Saccharomyces cerevisiae S288C: one gene and its partners. The gene in region 2 interacts genetically with the main gene of each other region. Each region holds a gene or a part of one and is shown on either strand. Other genes may lie near its edges.

The links.
Region 1: of MSH5 (region 2) and MLH3, changing one enhances a phenotype caused by changing the other (phenotypic enhancement), as found in Saccharomyces cerevisiae (one study listed by BioGRID).
Region 3: mutations in MSH5 (region 2) and YGR035C together harm fitness more than expected from each alone (negative genetic interaction), as found in Saccharomyces cerevisiae (one large-scale study listed by BioGRID).
Region 4: mutations in MSH5 (region 2) and ECM13 together harm fitness more than expected from each alone (negative genetic interaction), as found in Saccharomyces cerevisiae (one large-scale study listed by BioGRID).

The regions. Positions count from the first base shown.
Region 1 is NC_001148.4:238,209-243,363, forward strand, and holds MLH3 (mismatch repair protein MLH3), read right to left. Parts: upstream 3,290-5,155; coding exon 1,142-3,289; downstream 1-1,141. Other genes in the region: SET6 (Set6p), read right to left, coding at 1-869; SVS1 (Svs1p), read right to left, coding at 3,710-4,492; YPL162C (uncharacterized protein), read right to left, coding at 4,998-5,155. UniProt on the Saccharomyces cerevisiae protein: Involved in DNA mismatch repair (MMR), correcting insertion-deletion loops (IDLs) resulting from DNA replication, DNA damage or from recombination events between non-identical sequences during meiosis.
Region 2 is NC_001136.10:175,876-181,539, reverse strand, and holds MSH5 (MutS family protein MSH5), read right to left. Parts: upstream 3,207-5,664; coding exon 501-3,206; downstream 1-500. Other genes in the region: rRNA-processing protein SAS10, read left to right, coding at 1-354; B-type cyclin CLB3, read right to left, coding at 3,484-4,767; CMR1 (Cmr1p), read right to left, coding at 5,054-5,664. UniProt on the Saccharomyces cerevisiae protein: Involved in meiotic recombination. Facilitate crossovers between homologs during meiosis.
Region 3 is NC_001139.9:556,000-559,345, forward strand, and holds YGR035C (uncharacterized protein), read right to left. Parts: upstream 1,424-3,346; coding exon 1,073-1,423; downstream 1-1,072. Other genes in the region: 60S ribosomal protein uL24 RPL26B, read left to right, coding at 309-673; YGR035W-A (uncharacterized protein), read left to right, coding at 1,566-1,787; CAX4 (dolichyldiphosphatase), read right to left, coding at 2,150-2,869.
Region 4 is NC_001134.8:134,179-138,250, forward strand, and holds ECM13 (Ecm13p), read left to right. Parts: upstream 1-2,509; coding exon 2,510-3,283; downstream 3,284-4,072. Other genes in the region: ubiquinol--cytochrome-c reductase subunit COR1, read right to left, coding at 1-1,338; YBL044W (uncharacterized protein), read left to right, coding at 1,820-2,188.

The DNA of each region.
Region 1 (5,155 bases), on a different chromosome or scaffold from region 2:
TATTCTCTGCTGTCTGAGGCTTCGCCCTCTTGCCATAAACCAAAAGCATTCCCATATTCAGTACCTAATATATGTCTCAATAGCGGTATGGAGAGCATTCTATGCAAATGTGAAGGTAATAGAATATAGAGTGTTTGAAATACTAATTTTTGAAAGTGCAGTAAGACAGGAAATTTAGATATTTTGCTAAGCTCATTCGATTGTAACATATTGAAAGCTCGGTATGTTATGCACTGAGGATCCATATATTTAAGATTAAACAAACTCTCGCACACAAACCTAATGCAGCAATATTCATCTTCGCAAGTGGGTGGTAATTGATTTATTCTCTTCGCAGATTTCATGTTGTTGATGCGCGGTATCCATTTACTTTCAATCTCATCCCATGAAGACTGTATGACATTTTCCGAAATTAAGATAGAGTTTAATTTTTCCTCCTGTTCAGAGGTATAATTATATCTTTTCAGCATGCTTGGAAAATGATGCAGTAATATCTCATAACATTCAATTAATTCAATGATATTTGGTATTTGAAGATAAGAAGTTCTGCAATGTTCTGAACAGAACCACAGTCCAGCGCCCAGAAACTTCTTAGGGTTAATTTGGTAGTGTGCATTACAAACCAAATCTCTCAGGTAATCGTAGTTTAGTTTGTACTTCATAGTTTTCGCATTAGCGTATGCGAAACAATTGTGACAAACTTCCTTCCTGAACTCATAGGAAATAGATGTTCCTGTAAAATTACTGACTTGCAAGACTGTTGTCCCTTTAGGAATATTACCATTACTGAAACAAGCCCTACCGCCCCATTTAGTTTGCCTAACCTGGAAAAATGGGGAAATTTCATGTACGTCTCCATCAATAGTCATTTTTAAATTTTAGGTTATTTTGTGTTTGCATATATAAATGGTATATATATATATATATATATTCATATAAATCTAGGGCTACATTTATAATATCAGAGATACATAAAACGGTAATGCAACAGTGGAGCAGTATTGTATCGCACGTTTCTTTTTTGTTTTTGTTTTTTAAATTTTTCCAGGTTTTGACAACGTGATGAGGTAATCTTCTGTTTTGCATATCCGCGCAATTTAAAATGCAGGCGACAAACCTTGTTCCAGGATTAAGGTTCTCTTTACTTCAATTCTGCAATGGGTACCATAGAAGGTCTCCCGTGGGCGCATTCGAATGGGTTATGGCATCGCGAGAGCTTGCTAATTAAAATTATGCACTCTTGCCGGGTTAATTCATCTCCAAACATAACAGCAGATCTGCATGCCTTGCTGTTAAGAATTTCATGAAAGACCGTTGGAACGCAGCTTGAGTACTTCCACCAATATAATTTATCAACCGAAGTGTAGTTTTCGAAATGGGATAAATCCATTGGAAGTTTTTTGAAATCCTTCAGGTCATGAGCATGTTGCAGCAAGACCATTTTTAAGTAGTCTTTATCCCCGTTATATTTGGAAGTTAACATCTCAGGCAGTGTTTTAATTTCCAAAAGTGAGGTTTCCATTGTTCCCTCAATTGTTTCATAGCCAATTCCCCACTTTTTAAATTCACTTTGATAATGCTTAAATAAGTCAGCCTCAGTACGATCAACTTCAATGCAACAATCCTTGAGGTCTCGTGCAACAAAAGTTCCGGTTACAACTTCTGTCAACAGGCTATAAAATAGCTCTTCTAGTCTTATCCTCTCATCGCAAGCATGTTGATCAACTAGAACTAATAGTGGGCAATTATGAATAGATTGGTCTAAACAACGTATGAGAATAAATTTTTTATCTACTTGATTAATCACTTCATATTTTGCCAGGACAGATCTTGATATTGAAAAATCTGTTATGGTTTTTCCTATACTGTCATAATCTTCTGTAAAACCACTATCGTAGGGCCTGGAAGAGAGTTTATTCCGTAACCTTGATTTCTGACCGTCGATTCTTATATTCTTGATTTTTTCGTAGTTTATTGTACTATTGTTTATTCTACATCCATTGACAGCGGGTTTTCCTATGTATGAATTAATGCGTGCAATCTTCATTTTTGAATTTAATACTTGATTACGTTTACTGATTTGGATTCGACTATCAGGCAATGTTGCCGTCTTCTGTGAACAATTGACTATTTCGAAAGATGAATCTGATTTATCAGGCGTTAAGTATCCTTGAAATGTCAGAAAGGAGCGAATGGTCTTAACGATCAATGGTTCAATGGTACGTATATGGGAAGGCTTAACAATTTTCTTTGCTGGATCTTGTAACAGGTCATCGATAGTTTGGGGGCACCGAACATCAAGGATGAAGACGGGATGTGATCGATACGGTTTTCCCACGCTTTTAGTTTTGAGTAAACTCATGCCTTTCTCCCCGAAATCTTGTGCTTGGAATAAAGAATCGACGTATCCTTGAAAGGCGCTGTCCGCATAACGTCTGCCATTGATATATATAAATTGAAGATCCTTCAATCCAACGGGCATCTTCGATATGATCCCTTCAATCTGATATTCATTAAACTTCAAGGAAACTTTCTTAAGCATATCCGGTGGTATTATTGCCCCAAACACATTTCTCAGTACTTGAGACATTTGCTGGTGCTTTGTTAACCCCTCAGTTATGTTCTTTGAGCGGAAAAGAACTTCTGTATTGATTCTGAGTTTGTCTGTATATTGTACGTTGAGTGAAATCATCGGGTGCATTACCAGTATCTGTAGCATATCTGCCTTTATTGTGTTAAAAGTCTTGAAAGGGGGTTCTTCCTTTAGTATTCTGCGCCGGACAGGTAAATTATACAGCATATCTTCAACAATAACAACAGTACCAGACTTTGTTCGGCTCCAAGGACAAATTTTCCAAAAAGGATCTATTGGGAGTATGGTATTCTCACTCAACATGACGCTTTTGGATGGAAATTTTCTCATCCATGCAGAGTTGTAATCCTTTTTCTTGGAACAAACAAACAGATTAGAGACATTAGAAATGCTATATAGGGCGTCTCCTCTGTAACCGTAGGTTTTCATCGTTACTAAATCATTCATCTTTCGTATTTTGGAAGTATAATTTTGTGTGGCCAATATATTTAGGTCACTTCGAGTCAAACCAATACCATCATCGTAAACTGCAAAGCTCAAATTAGGGAGGTCGATCATGACGTCGATAGTGGTAGCGTGTGCATCTACAGAATTTTGAACTATTTCTCTAACCGCTGATGCTAGCGATACCGTGCATGCCTGAGATTTAAGTCTTTCAGAAACATCAGAATCTAATTTCCTAATATGCTGGCTCATTTTCTTTTTGAGTTGACGAGTTCACGTTCATTCTTCCTTGAAAGCCTCGCTGGTTTATGTATCGGTGGTTGAAATCATCATTCGATGTTTATTGCAAACTATTGATCTTTTTTTCCTGCCCCTTCTCGTGGCGCTCGCAAATAAACGCAAACTAAATATAAGCGTACAAACAGACAGATTTTGTGCTACTTATTGATTATTTAGAAAAGCTACTATTGTTCTTGAAAGTCATAATAGAACTACTTATATATGTATCAATGGGGTTGAATTTGCGCTTTATGTATTTTTTAAGGAATGATATGAAAGTTGTCTCTAGTCTATTTATTGAATCGTAAATCAAAAAATACTAGTGATCCCATATAGGATAACTAGTAAAGGTTTCGTTAAAAGTAGCTTTTTTTCTCGATTCAACGTCACGCATTAAATGTGGGTACCGTTGTTAGCAGAACCTGTAACATTACTAGCATCGGCAGTTATAGTAACGTATTTAACAACAGGCTCCGCCGTAGTAGTAACCACTTCGGTAACTGCAGCAGCTGTAACTGTAACATACTTGGTAGACGCACTACAGTACTGTTCATCGGCGGATGTGGTTTGAATCATCTGAGATTGATGTTCAGCAGAGACTAACTTTTCTAAGGCATCAACATTGGAGGCGGCGTCCCCAGCTGTGGATGTCGCTATTGTATTACTAGCTTGGGAATTATATACAGTAACCAATAAGGTTGAGGTCAAAGTAGAGGTGTATGTACTGCCCGATTCGGTTACTGTAGAAGCAATTTCTGTGACGCTCGTGGAAATCTGTTCAGCCTTCTCGTTGGCGGATTCCGTAGATAGAGTTATTATGTAAGTAGAGGTCAGAGTAGACGTGTAGGTGGTGTCTGTGTCAGAATAGGTGGTGGTGTATTCATTTGTGGACGTAGTTAGGCTAGGCGTGCTTGCAGTAGGTGTACTTGCAGTAGGTGTACTAATAATAGCAGCTGATTGGGAGGTAGTGAACCAGTAGGTAGAGTAAAAAGTAGATGTTATGTAGAAGGTGGTTGTTTCATCGCTGTACGTTAATGTTGTCTCTTGAGGTGAAACAGAGTATGTTGGAGTTAATGTCTTCGTGTATGGTGTATAGCTCGTAGTTTCATTGACATATAAGGCAGAAGCGAAGTTGGAGGTTACCAGTAGTAAACTACACAATATTTTGAAAATCATTGCGATATATATTCTAATTTGTTGGTTGTGTTAGACAACTAGTGTACAAGAAAGAGACTAGATGGCCATAACGGATCTTGATAATTCATTTTCTTACGTCTTTTAAATACACTCCCTCTCCATCACATACAGATTGATTTAATGTCTACCTCTTCTAAGCCATCTGAAATTCTTGGGTCTTTCTCTGTTTACGGTTATTTGAAACACGAAATTACTTAAGAACACGAAATGCCAATTATTAGCGTCGCGAATTGAATATCCAATGCGGCGGGAAAATCAAAAAACGAAAATAGAATAGGAAAAACTGCCGTAGTTATAGAATCAAACCTGAGCGCCAGTTTCATTCTTCTAGCGGAGAATGCTTTCCCAAACAATAACCCACAGATTATGTGTTGAAGAGTCTAGGCTTGTGGAAATTGAAATCAAAATGTTTGTTCCCTTTAAAAAAAATCAATTAAGCAAGGAAAGGAAATAAACAGTGCATGCTTTCCTTATCCTTGGAATACTATATTATGCTACCATAGCTGGAAATGTTGTTATCCTTGTTAGGCACTTCATTTGAGACTTCCGATAAATCAGGAATTTCGTCATTTAGGAATGTGTTCGTTTCAAAATTCTCTGCATTGGTTATCGTTAGGCTCTCAGAATGTAACCTGATGACAT
Region 2 (5,664 bases):
TATTATCAACAGGTTCAGAGAGGTAAACAAGACAAGAAAATATCTCGTAAAGAGGCTCATAAGAATGCTGTTATTGCTGCAAGGGAAGGAAAATTGGCGGAATTGGCTGAAAATGTCTCAGGTGATGGTAAGCGTGCCATTAATTATCAAATTTTAAAGAACAAGGGTCTAACGCCTAAAAGAAACAAGGATAACAGAAACTCTCGTGTCAAGAAGAGAAAGAAATACCAAAAGGCACAAAAGAAACTCAAGTCGGTTCGTGCAGTTTATTCTGGTGGTCAATCTGGCGTCTATGAAGGTGAAAAGACAGGTATCAAGAAGGGTTTGACGAGGTCTGTTAAATTCAAGAATTAAAAAAATTTACATATGTAGTATTTACCCAAGTAGTGGTGTCAAAATTTTTGTACCCATACAATATATTTTTATAAGAAAAGAGCAACCGCTTGACATTTATTAACTTAAATATGTTACAAGTAAGCGTTTTTTTATTCTTTGATATATTAGCGAAGGAAATTTTTCAATTTAAGCCTGAGATTCTCGGAAGTTGTTGTAGTTTCGAGATCCAAATCCCAAGATAAAAACTTTTTCACTATTTCCTGATTCTTTTGGAATTCTCTCATCTCCTTTTCGGTCAGATTTCCACATTGCTGAACTACGTCATCGCCTCTATTAATCATGCGAGATAGTTCTTCAGCCCTTTCCACAATATCTCTGCTCAAACCACATACTTTTGCGCAATATATGCCAAATGACTGCTTTGAGATCCCCTCCTTTACTTTGAATAGGAATGTGATTCCCTCACTTTCATGATCTTCTCCGACATGTGCTGTTTCTAAAAGATTATATTTTTGGCTGATAAGTATATCAGTGCAGTAATGTTTGATACCTTTTATATTCTCTGTGAGTACATTTTCGTTAAATAGTTCATGAAAGTGTGTACATGCGATTATGCGTGGACATTTTTCACTCTTGGACATATTGAGCATTATGGAACCAAATAGTGAAGGTCCATCTAAAATATCAGTACCTTTGCCGTATTCATCAATTAAAATGAGACTTTTTTCAGTGGCCAAACTCAGTGATTTTGCCATTTGTTGAGAATCTAGCAAAAAGGAACTTTGAGTCTTATAAACAGTTTCTTGAGTCCTGATTCTAGTTAATATTTTATCCGCTATTCCAATTCTCGCTCTCTCTGCTGGAACAAAACAACCAATTTGTGCCAAGTACACAATTAAACCATTCTGTGTAAGATATACAGACTTTCCAGATGCATTAGCGCCAGTGACTACAATGATTCTTCCTTTATTTTGTTCACACCAACTTAATTCAGAAAATAGCCCGCCATCAATCATTGTGCTATTGGGGATATAATTATCAAGGAATGTTTCATACAAAGCATGTCTTCCGTTAATAATTTCCAATATGCACTCATCTTCCACCAATTGAGGCTCTGCATAATTCCTTTCAGCAGACACTTGAGCGAACGATAATAATATTTCCAGTTCACTAAGCAGTATATTGTAAGCAGTGAGTTGAGTCTTTCTTCTCAGAATTTGTTCTTGTAAGGAAAACAGGATTTCAATTTCAAAATCTGAAATCGCGCCATAAATATCGCCGTATGTTTCATCCAGCTCAAGAACCCTGCCATTTTTGAAGTATATATTTTCTGAACTCCTAAAGATCTCTTCCCATTGAAGGTTTGGAATGCCATCCAATAAAGGTTCCATTAAGACGCTAATGGTTACTAAGTATCCTAATTGGGGAATATAAACAGCATTCACTAACTTTTCTAAACTCTTTGTTGTCTTACAATCTTCTTGAGGCATAGTATTCAGTAAAAAAATTTGAGTTTCTCTTGCGACATCCAGTAAGATCCCTTCCAAATGATTATAAATATTTCTGCATTCGTCTAATCTGTTGTCAACCCCCGTATTTATCGTGAGCGTCTTGGTATCTCTTGATGTGTCAAAATCTATTACCGTTTCTACTTTTCTCAAACATTCCTTTAAAGCTGATATATCAACCTTATTTTTGATATCATGTAAAATGTTGGCTTCGTCTGAACCTAATTTCAAGGACGACACCAGTTGAAATATAGCTATTCCTTTTTCTAAAAAACTTGCAACCTTGGACCATGTCCCTAATGTCGATTTACCACTTCTTAACTGATTTATAAACCCAAAAGCGTCTGGACATCTTTTTATTGATTGGCTAAGGTCACTAAAAATGATGGCGTTTTGTTTATCCAATAAGGTTCTTATGATGCTGTATCTTGTTTCTATCCGTTTTTTATTGGTTAATGGGTTAATAAGCCAAGACTTCAAAATTCTCCTGGCGTAGTCCGAAGACACTTGATTGAATAGTTCAAATACACTAAAGAAACCATTTCTCATCATCTTATCATGGCCCAGTTTATGAGCTGTTGGAAAAATATGCAAAGCCGATATAGTATTTTCATCCAGTACCATCCGATCCCTTATGTCGATATACCTTATGCCATGTATCACATCTTCAAAAGCATTCTGAACTAATCGTCCTGTTACCATATTACTTGAAGCAGTACTGTCATTGTATTCACCAAGTTGTTCATGATTTGCAAGGATGCATCCCACTGTACCTAAGGTGACTGTGGTGGTAAATTTGCTATTTGATAATATGTCGTTCAATATAGTCTGATTATCATGACCCCTTAACTGCAATGACTGCAATAAGTCCCATTTTTTGAAACGTTTTATTGGTTGTAGTTCTAGCCTACAGTTTATCTCATCGCATTTTGTCTTAATGTAGTCGAAAATCCAATCCTCCAATCTTGCCGGCACTAGGCATACAGTTGGGTTTGCTTCCATTATTAAAAGTCCAAGTAACAGACTTATGTCGTTTGAAGACATATCTGCATCATCGATAAGATCATGAGACGAAATTGTTGTTTTATTGACCACGTAGTCCTGGTCAAACGCTTTCAAAGTCTTGGTATGATAATCTAAAATAGAACACCCGAGTTTTCCTCCAGAAAAGTCAATACACATTACAATCTCCTCGTCAAAATCGAAGGAGAAAATGGTAGAGCTATCCTCTTCACGATTTGTATCACCTTCGTTAAATTCTCCGTCATTGTTGGCAACGACAGCACCTTTATCCCGCAAACCTTCCCCATTACCAATGCTTCTCATTGTTTCCGATGCGCTTATGAGCCATTCATGGGACATATTCCATTTGGTGGCAGTATATGAATGAGTAAGTTATTTTGAATGAGTTGTTTTGTTAACCTTGATTTTAGCTTCAATTTTTTAATAATTAACCGCCGAGCTAATTTCGCGTCATATCCATATGGATTGTGGATGCTTTAAAAAAAGTACGGAGATTAGTATGTTTTAAGGTTAAAAAGTTACATATGTTTATTACTGATGATTAAAGTTTTTGTGTGCAAAAGACGGTAATGAATCCTTTTTCCTTTGTTGATGCCATGTCTCGAGCTGAGGCTTTTTAGTTAGATCTTTCTACTCTGTGTTCAGCTAATGCTATCCACTTCGCTACGATCTGTGAAGAATGCAAATAACGACGTGAAGAATATTTTCTCCATATGGCGTTATGACGTTTAGAGGCATATCTGCAATTTTCTAAAATAATGGTGGCCAACGGAAGAATTTGTTCTTGTGTATAATTGGAATAGTAGACGTGCGCCAGAGACCACTGATTTTGGCCCAGAATAATCTTACTTAGAAAGTATGCACCGGCAGCTAACCAACTAGGTTGAGCGGAAACCAGTCGATGGTCCATTATTGTGGATTCCAATAGATATTTGGCCAGTGTTCTCGTATCATGCTCGTAATCGTCTGCCTTACTGATTCTTCGTAAAAATGACATCGGACCAGGCCAACCCAATTCAAATTCTAAGCCGTTCAAAATAGTTCTTTCTGCGTCCAGCAGGTCGTTCCTTGAGTAGCAGTTTTCTGACATGTATACGAAATCCTTGATTGTAGGACAGTTGATTTCCTCATATTTAGCAGCAATGAAGAGTGAGGCTGCACCCACAAGTTGGAACTTATTTACAGGAACAACTTCTTTGCACAGATATCTGTCTATTATATTAATGCAGAGATATAGAGTTTCAGGTAAAAGTTGAAATTTTTCATGTACTTGGACGATCCAATCAATCAGTGTGCTTCGAAACGACCATCTTAACTCTGGTTGTTTATCCATGTAGTACGGGTTGGGTTTATACAGGTCTTCCAATTTCCTCATATACTCGAATATCTCATTAGATAATTCGGCAACCATGACCACATCGTACACGTCATCATCATTGGGATCTAATGTAGTTCTATAGTAAGTTCTAAATGCATGCTCCCAGACCAATGTATCACTAGCATAATGTTGCAACAGTAGAGGCTCCTGGTCTTCTTCTTCATCCTCTTCGCTTTCTCCGTCGTCTTCAACGGGTTCCTCTTGTTCCCTGTCCGTTAACAAATCGTTATGATCAGCTTCTTTTCTCTGTGCAACACTATTCGCATCCAGCCTTTCTTCCTCAATTATCGCAGCTGAATCCAATCTTTCTTTAATTGGGGCGACTTTTGGCTTACTTATGCTGTTGTTGCTAGAGTTTGTCGCAACTATATTGGTAACGTCGCTAAGTGCGACCCTCGGGTGCGCAGATGAAATATGACTGAGGGATCCAGTCCTGTGTTTAAGATTACCTATAGGTGCCACATTTTCATCCTCGGGGCTCCTGATGTGTCCAGAGCTCAAAGACTGTGAGTTATGATGCATTTATAATAAGCAATGATAAAAAGGACAAAATATCTCTATGTTTTAAAGCGAAGGACAGAAACAATAAATAGCTTTTTCTCTGCAATTTTCTTTTCTTTTCTTCTAAGCAAGCAGCTAAAAATTTCTGATCGTTTTCTTTCGACCGGATCAAAAATGTTTTTATGTGTCCATGTTCTTGCATTTCAATATTTTTGTTTTCTTTTGTTTTGTTTTGTTCCTTCGCTTGTCGCCTCGTTCTGCTGAAAAGCGGGAGAGAAAAAAGGCAGTGCGGGTAACTGAGATGTTTTCATTCTTCCTGCTTTATGGTTCCGGAGTCATCAGTAAAGAGGAATATTTTGCCGCTAGAATTACCACCTGCAATCCAGTTTCGCAGCGGGTGCCAACTAATTACAGCTGGGACAGTAGCTGTGGGTAGGTGAGCCAGTTGCTGGCCTTCGCTGTTGTATATGTCGATGGCGCGCTTCATGTTAGCTATTGCAAAAACATTCTTGTTCGGCTTGAACCTGGCCTTGAGGATGCTTGTCCATCTTCCTGTTTGGCAATTGTGCTGAATCGTTAGTTTGGGCTCCAACTTCGCAGAAAGGTGATCCCTACTCTTGACATCGAATAAGCGGATGGTATCGTCATAGCCATTGCACACTAAGGTGCCATCTGTCGGTGAGTAAGAAACTGCAGAGACGCTCAATCTTGAGTCATATGTGGAGACAATTTCATGACTGGGATAGTCTTCATATTGTGACCACTCTGGCTTTTTAACAAGGTTTCTTGTATCCCAGATTTTGAGTGTTCTATCAAGTGATCCGGTGGCAATCTCGTAGGGTCTCATGGGATTTATTGCCATAGACCCGATCTTCTTGTCTGCGAGTCTTCGCAGATTATACTCTGATTTTTTTACTC
Region 3 (3,346 bases), on a different chromosome or scaffold from region 2:
AAAAAAAAAAAAAGAAACAGCTTTTGCATATTCAATCCAGGCATAGGGCGACTATTTAGCACTCAACGATTTTTAAGCTTGTGTATTGCTGACATAAATTCCGGCTTTAGAATCCAATATTGAAAAACGTGAGTACGCAGAGGAGATAGAAGAAAAGTAGGAAGTTACCGTTTATATTGATTTGTGAAATGCATACTCCGTTGGATGTGGGGCAACATAGATTTAAGTGTGGATGAAAATTATGTGCTCATTGTGAAAAAAAAGTTTTGCTTTTACTAACAAATTTTTTTATTATTTGTTTTCAATAGACGTTTCCTCTGACAGAAGAAAGGCCAGAAAGGCTTATTTCACTGCTCCATCCTCTGAACGTCGTGTTTTGTTATCTGCTCCATTATCCAAGGAATTGAGAGCTCAATATGGTATCAAGGCTTTGCCAATCAGAAGAGACGATGAAGTCTTGGTTGTTCGTGGTTCCAAGAAGGGTCAAGAAGGTAAGATTTCATCTGTTTACAGATTGAAGTTTGCTGTTCAAGTTGACAAGGTCACCAAGGAAAAGGTCAACGGTGCTTCCGTTCCAATTAACTTGCACCCATCCAAGCTTGTTATCACTAAGTTACACTTGGACAAGGACAGAAAGGCTTTGATCCAAAGAAAGGGTGGTAAATTGGAATAAACTAGCTCGACTTTAACATAGATCATACAAAAAATACAATAAATAAATCCTGTGTTTCTTTTATGTATATTTTTTATCAATTTCAATTTAGTTTAGTTTAGTTTCTTTAAAAATAAAATTGTAATTTCTCACATTCTGCCTTCGGGTCTCAAGGGCTGGTTGGTAGACGAATGCGCTTGTTTCTAGCTGAGCGGCAGATGCATGAATTCAATGCAAGAAAATGAGAAAACTTCCAATATTAAAATGTGATTGTTAATTATTAGTATATTTATGACAATATATATATGTACATAGGGTGATTATGAAGATGAGTAAGATGCGAATGGATATGAGGATATGAATCTTTTTAGAGACAATGAAGATGCAAAGAAGTAGTTAAGCACATTGACCTCAGGGTTGCTATATGCTACTTTTAGTCCGTTGGATTTCTGAAGCAGTATTGGCCACAAAAATTTCTTCATTATTTCTACGATTAGAGTTTCTTCTGGATTTTTCTCGTCCCTGAGACTTACTCCTTTTCAAGTCATTTTCAGCAGCAGCTTTGATTAAATCATATCTTGTGATTTTACTTGGAGAGCTATTGTGATGGGAACTTTGTCTGCATGTGACTGTATTAGTCAGAGATGTTATGGGCTTAACCATAAGGGAAGAAACTATGGCACGCATGAATGAATTACTGCTTTTACTGCTGTCATCTGTTGAGTTTGCTGAGTCTTCCGTTCTTGTAGTCTTGGCTGGTGTGAGTAACATTACGTATTGTTTCTGTAGAGAAGATAACTTATAACTTCCGTCTTGTCACTAGTTGTTTTAATTATATGTTTGTTACAAGTTTTTATGTATAGATATATGTTACAACTTTTAGAAGTATTGTGGACATAACAGAGAGAAGGGAATGTTGCTATATTTATATATTTTATATATTGCCCTCAAAACTGTATCTCATCTTTTTTTCTGCAATCCTTGCTTTCGTAATCTAAGTGTGGGTGACATGCTAAATCCGCGGCTTTCCTTAAGCTTTTTCACAAACCATCTATTATGTCCAGAAGCTCCGCTGATTATCCGTGGAAAAGGGTCTTATTCTGCCGTAGGAAACTTCTTCTCGAGAAAAAAGTGAGTTCACCCGCGGCGCTCTCGTAAAACCCGAGGGCCGATTCTTTCCCTCCGTGGAACAATCGGCCCCGCGGCGTCAGAGGGTATTATCTCCGCAAGTGATAGAACTCACATTTATTCTACGTTCTGCATGGTTTTGATTATCTTCTTTTGCACGATGTCACATACTTTTTCGATTACCGTCGCTTTACACAGTAACTGTTTAAAACGAGCGTTCTTAATTAATAACTGTAGGAGAGCAGGCTTTCGGCTTTCTTTATGAGAAATAAGGACTACTCCAGCTTGCCAAGTTTTATCCAGTTACACAAACGCTCAAGATCGCCTCGCTAAAATAGATGAAAAAATAAGAAAAATGAAATGTTCAACCTAATCCCTTTTGGATTTATCATTGAAAGATCGCTGATTTATTCTTTTCCAATACGCCTCGTAATTCTCTTTCAATGTCAAAGGCGCCAGATTGTAAGAATCTGTCATGTAAAATAATCTGACAATACGTAGTTTTAAAAACCAATTGATTAAACCAAGCTCTCTTATGATGCCAACTATAAAAAAATAAAGTGATCCAGTCAGTGCCCCCACGCTGAATCCCACGATTACTTGATCTAAATTGTGGTAGTGCAAGTAAACTCTGGAAAAGCAAACGCAAAACGATAATAAAGCCAATGCACCAGAAAAAATGCATTTTTCTAAGAAGTTTAGATTCTTCCAGGAAGTGTATATCTTCAGAGAGTTATAGGTAAAACAAAACCCCATGAATTGGGAGTGTGCACTGGGCATCCCGTAACCGGATCTTATAGTGTCATTTTGGAACGACGCACCGAACGATACGGGGCGTGGCTGTTTTATTATATTCTTGATCACGTTATTGAATATTTCGTTCATCAATTGGCCAAAGGCTACAATGCAGGCTTCTAACTCTCTTGTGATGATAAACCACGACAAATAAAAAGCTAGCACTAGGATGGGCATCAGCGAGAAATATGCACTAAGGAATGATAGAAAGTCATGCGAATCATAGAGAATGTATGTGTCATCGAATGGTATAACATTTGGATTTGGATTTATTGCAGCGGCGGTACTATTCATGATATGATCCGATTCAAAACAAATTTTGATGTAGATAAAATGCCTGGTATAATGAGTGGTAGAGAAGAAAATTAGACGAAAAGAATGAGAACGAAGAAATGATTTAAAGTGATCACAGTGGCAATCACTTTCCCCTTTTTAACGCGTGTTGAGCAATCGATTGATGTCTCTACCATATGTAGCATTTTCTCAGAAGGCAAACTTTTCTTTTTCTTTCTACTTTTCCAACAAGAAATTTTAAGTTTTCCCAGAAACCCGAATTCTCCTATTTCATCCACCACGTAAGAACGGTTTTCTTCCTGGCGTAATTAAAAGCATAAAGAAAAACTGAACAAGCTCTAGATGTAGATCAGGGTATACATGGTGCGCTTCAGTAAGTGTACTGTACCACTAGTTTGGCGTCTGTCACTTGAATTGCGGATTTGTGTAGAGCAATGAAAGCGCTGCTTCTGCCGCCATCAAAAAAAACTGAGTAGT
Region 4 (4,072 bases), on a different chromosome or scaffold from region 2:
CATGTAATCTAATAACCCTTCAATTTGGCCTGTACCAGCAATAGCAATATCTTGGTCCCATAATCTCTTACCGGCCCAAGCCTTAACATCTTTGACTGTGATTGCATCAATTTTCTTGAAAGCCTCACCCAGAGACAGTTTGGAGCCCTTGATTAGGACTTCTGCGCCTAACAAGTTAGCGTCATTGACGGGATTACCAGATTCGTATAACTGCCCTAATTGTAATTTCAACAGCGATTTGGCACGTTCAACTTCAGTATCAGTGACAGAAATGGTCAATCTGTTCCATTGTTTCAAAGTGAAATGGATGAGGTCGTCAATCATGGTAACGTTTCTCGTGGCCGTAGAGAACCCCCATAAACCGGAATCTTTGTAAGAAAGAGAGAAATGATTGAAATTGTCGCATAATTGGTACTCCTGTATGTTGTCTAACAATTTGATACCTTGTAATCTAGAAGCGGGTTCGAAGGCGTTGTATGAGCCGAAAATTTGGGCGGCTAATTTAGCAACAAAATAATTTGGTGAATTGACAGGTTCACCTTCCACAGCCAGCGAAATCCACGCCTTTGGCAAGGTGTCGTCTCTCAATCTAACTTCGGAACCCAAGAAAGCGGCCTTTTTCTTGAGTACGGGCTTGGTACCGGTTTGCAAACTTAGGTTTTTGGATTCGATGGAATTTACTAAATCCTCATGTTTGATATTACCGGTACCAACAACAACAGCATTTGAATTCAAGAAATGGTTATTGGCAAAAGATTCCAGATCAGCAACAACTAAATTCTCCAAGGACTCCAAAGTACCTCTAGTAGGCAAAGATAATGGAGTGTTTTGGAAGGCGGTGGAGTGTAAATGTTCCAAAACTCTGTTGGGATGGTCGTTTTCTTCAAAATCTTGAACTTGCTTCAAGACAGATTTCTTCGTGGCCTCGAAGTTAGAAGAAGATAGCAAATTAGCCTTTTGTTGGATGAAAGACTGATTCAAGAAGTCTAGTGATTTATCGGTAGAACCTGGCAAAGAAGATACAATGTAAGATTGGAAGTCTCTGGAGATATTGGAAGACAATGCCAAACCTTCCTTGGCGGCAACAGCAGAGTTTTCTTTGGATAGAAAGATGTTCTTCCATAAATTGGAAACCCCGTTGTTATAAGGGTTTTCGTTGGCAGCACCGGAGCCGAAGACAACACCGACAGAGGCTGTGTGAGCGGAAGGATTATGCTCAGTGGCTACAACTATACCGTTAGATAATTGCGTTACTTCGGCCTTGGGGGTTGCTACAGCTGTAGCCAAAGACCTCTTGAACTGGTTAGATACAGTCTTTGAAGTTACTGTTCTTAGCATTTTTTTTGTTTATATATCTTGTGTTTTCTTTCTCAGTGATATGGTGACGATGATGTTCTTCTCGTATTATTACTCCACAATTGTCTTGATCAGCAATGGTAGCAATTTAATATTAGGATTCGTTACCTATACGAACAGGGATGATATAATATTTTTTCTGTGAAAGCTATTGCTTTATTATACGCTGTTTTCCTCGAATAAGACGGGGAAAGAGAGTAGGGGAATATCGGTTAGGGAGCGCTGTAGGCCTTTAATTTTCTTGTTTGGTTTTTATTTGGTGCAGCTGACAGCGCGGGCCCTTGAACTTCTGGAGGACAAAAAACACTGTTAATTTATTGGCATTTCATTGGTGCAGAAAGCGTGCTGTCCGGGTCACAGTTAAAGTTCATATACATGTTACCCTACCCAGTCCGGGTTATGTAAATCGTGAAAAAGAATATCTGGTTTTAAAATCTCTCTTTTCTTTTTCCCCCTGGTGGGTATGGGTGAAATGCTAGAGAGGCAAAAAAAAAGGTTGCCAAGTAAAGCGAAGTATTTGAAGTATACTGCAAGCATCACCGAAACAGGAAATCACGAAGCTGACTCATCTGTGATTTTCCGTCCCCACCATAGTGATGTAACATGCAGTAACGCACGGCGGGCCGAAAGTCGGACTTTACCCCAGATTTGTAGTTGTATCCTATTGGATCACGGGCGACGGACAAGACCCGAAGTGCGGACCGGCATGGTCAGCTTGCACGGAAGCTTTAAGGGTTTCCCTTGTTTCGGCATTAGAAGAGGCATTTCGCACGTTTTACCGGGTCAGAAACTTCGAGGAAGCTGTGACAATTGGAAAAAAAGGCAAAACTAAATGCAATGTATCCGGTTGCCCATGCATTATTTGTGATGTTTTCGGATGTAGTTCGCTGCGCTCCGCGGCGATATATCCTCTAGCGAGAGGCATATGTATAAATATATATATATATATCTAACAAAAGCATTCAAGTTTCTTTCTCTGGTGTTACGTCTTTGTTCGACTTTCTCTGCTTACAGCCCTGTATGACCAAAGAAAAAATAAAAAGACAGCTACATACCAGCAGAAATTTTTTATAGTATTACACTATACATCCAAGTTTTTTCACAATTATTTATTGTTTTTCTCACATAGAAAATTCCGCATACTGCGATTATAATGAACTCTACAACCCCATCGATTCAAGATCAATATATTTTGGCCAGCAAAGTACGCTCCAAGCTGGCAAAATGCGTTAGCGTGACTACTAAAAACAAAGACTACAACCTGAGAGTTTTAGTCGGGCACGCAAACTTGCTGGATAAGATTACAGAAAATGTGGAAACTCATAATGCTGCAACCAACGCCCTTGCCGGAGACCCTTTCAGTAAAGGACCTGAAAACTTGTCCATCGAACATATCGAATTGTCCAATGCTAATGCTAGTAAAAATGACGTCGGTAAGGAGGAAAATGCAGAAAAGACGATAGAAAGTGAAGATTACTGTGATTTTTACTCTAGTGACGAAGATCCAGATGCTGACACTCTATCTTCTACTGACAGTGAAGACGATGATGATTATGAAGACTATGATTTTGAGTACGATTACTCTGGCGGTGATTATAACAAGAAAATTGACATGTACTTTAGTTTTCACACCGCACCTAATTATCAATATTTGACTCACACAAACTCTCATTCCGAGCAGACGGATGAACTTGCCGAATCAACGCCGCGCTACAATGCTCTTCCCGCCACTGCCTCTACGACAGAGGAAGAACAGGACACTGAAACGCTCGATGCTGTGAGTTTGCATAGTTCAGCGCCAATCTTCCGTGTGCTCTCTCGGCGGGTAAATGGACAAGAAGATGACAGCGAAAACGAGAGTAGTAGCGATGTCGACGATGGTTCCGTACCATTAACGAGATTTCATTCTTGTCCTATCACAGCATAAATTAAAATGAAGGAAATAACACAACTTCGTTTTGCATTATCATATTCACATCTGCATCCTATTTTTTTTTTCTCATTGTTGTTGTATCATTATTACTAACTAGTGCATCACCACTTGTCTAAATACCAAACGCAAAATATATATATTCTTACTTCATAACGTTCAAAATAAAGTTTTTAGTTTAAAATAAAATAAAATAAAAAAAAAAAAAAAAAAAAAAAAGAACCTTTTGTTTTCGCCCAGTATATGGGTAAATTAACGGTTCCTTTTATTAGTCATTTTCAACTCTATACCATGCTCCAAAACGGCGTTCGGCACAGGTTTTTTATTTTACCACGATAACTCAATATGTACAAGATTATTGCATAGGCGAAAAGTAAAGTTTTAATATGGTACTTTGCGCAATAAAACTACGAATTCAAACGTAAAATAAGACTACAGAGACTAAGGTAAGACCTGTTCTGCTCAGATAAGTGGCGTTGTCCAAGTATCAGTTCTACGGGAACGTAAGAAAAAATTTTGCGTGAGCTCTCTTGAGAACCAAACCTTCTTTTTTTTTTTTACGAAATGCTATTTCGTTGCAGTGAGAAGGATTTTTTGAAAACAGAAATGAGTTAGGCCAGGCTGCTCGTACTCGCTTAAATTAGGAGTGCGAGACTGAAGACCTATGGTAAACAAGACTTTTTTTAACTAATCAAGCATGCGTAATGTTATTTTTACAAAATAAAGGTTACAATTTGAGATTATGCAGAAGCATATGTCTATATGTATGCAACAAATATGATGAGG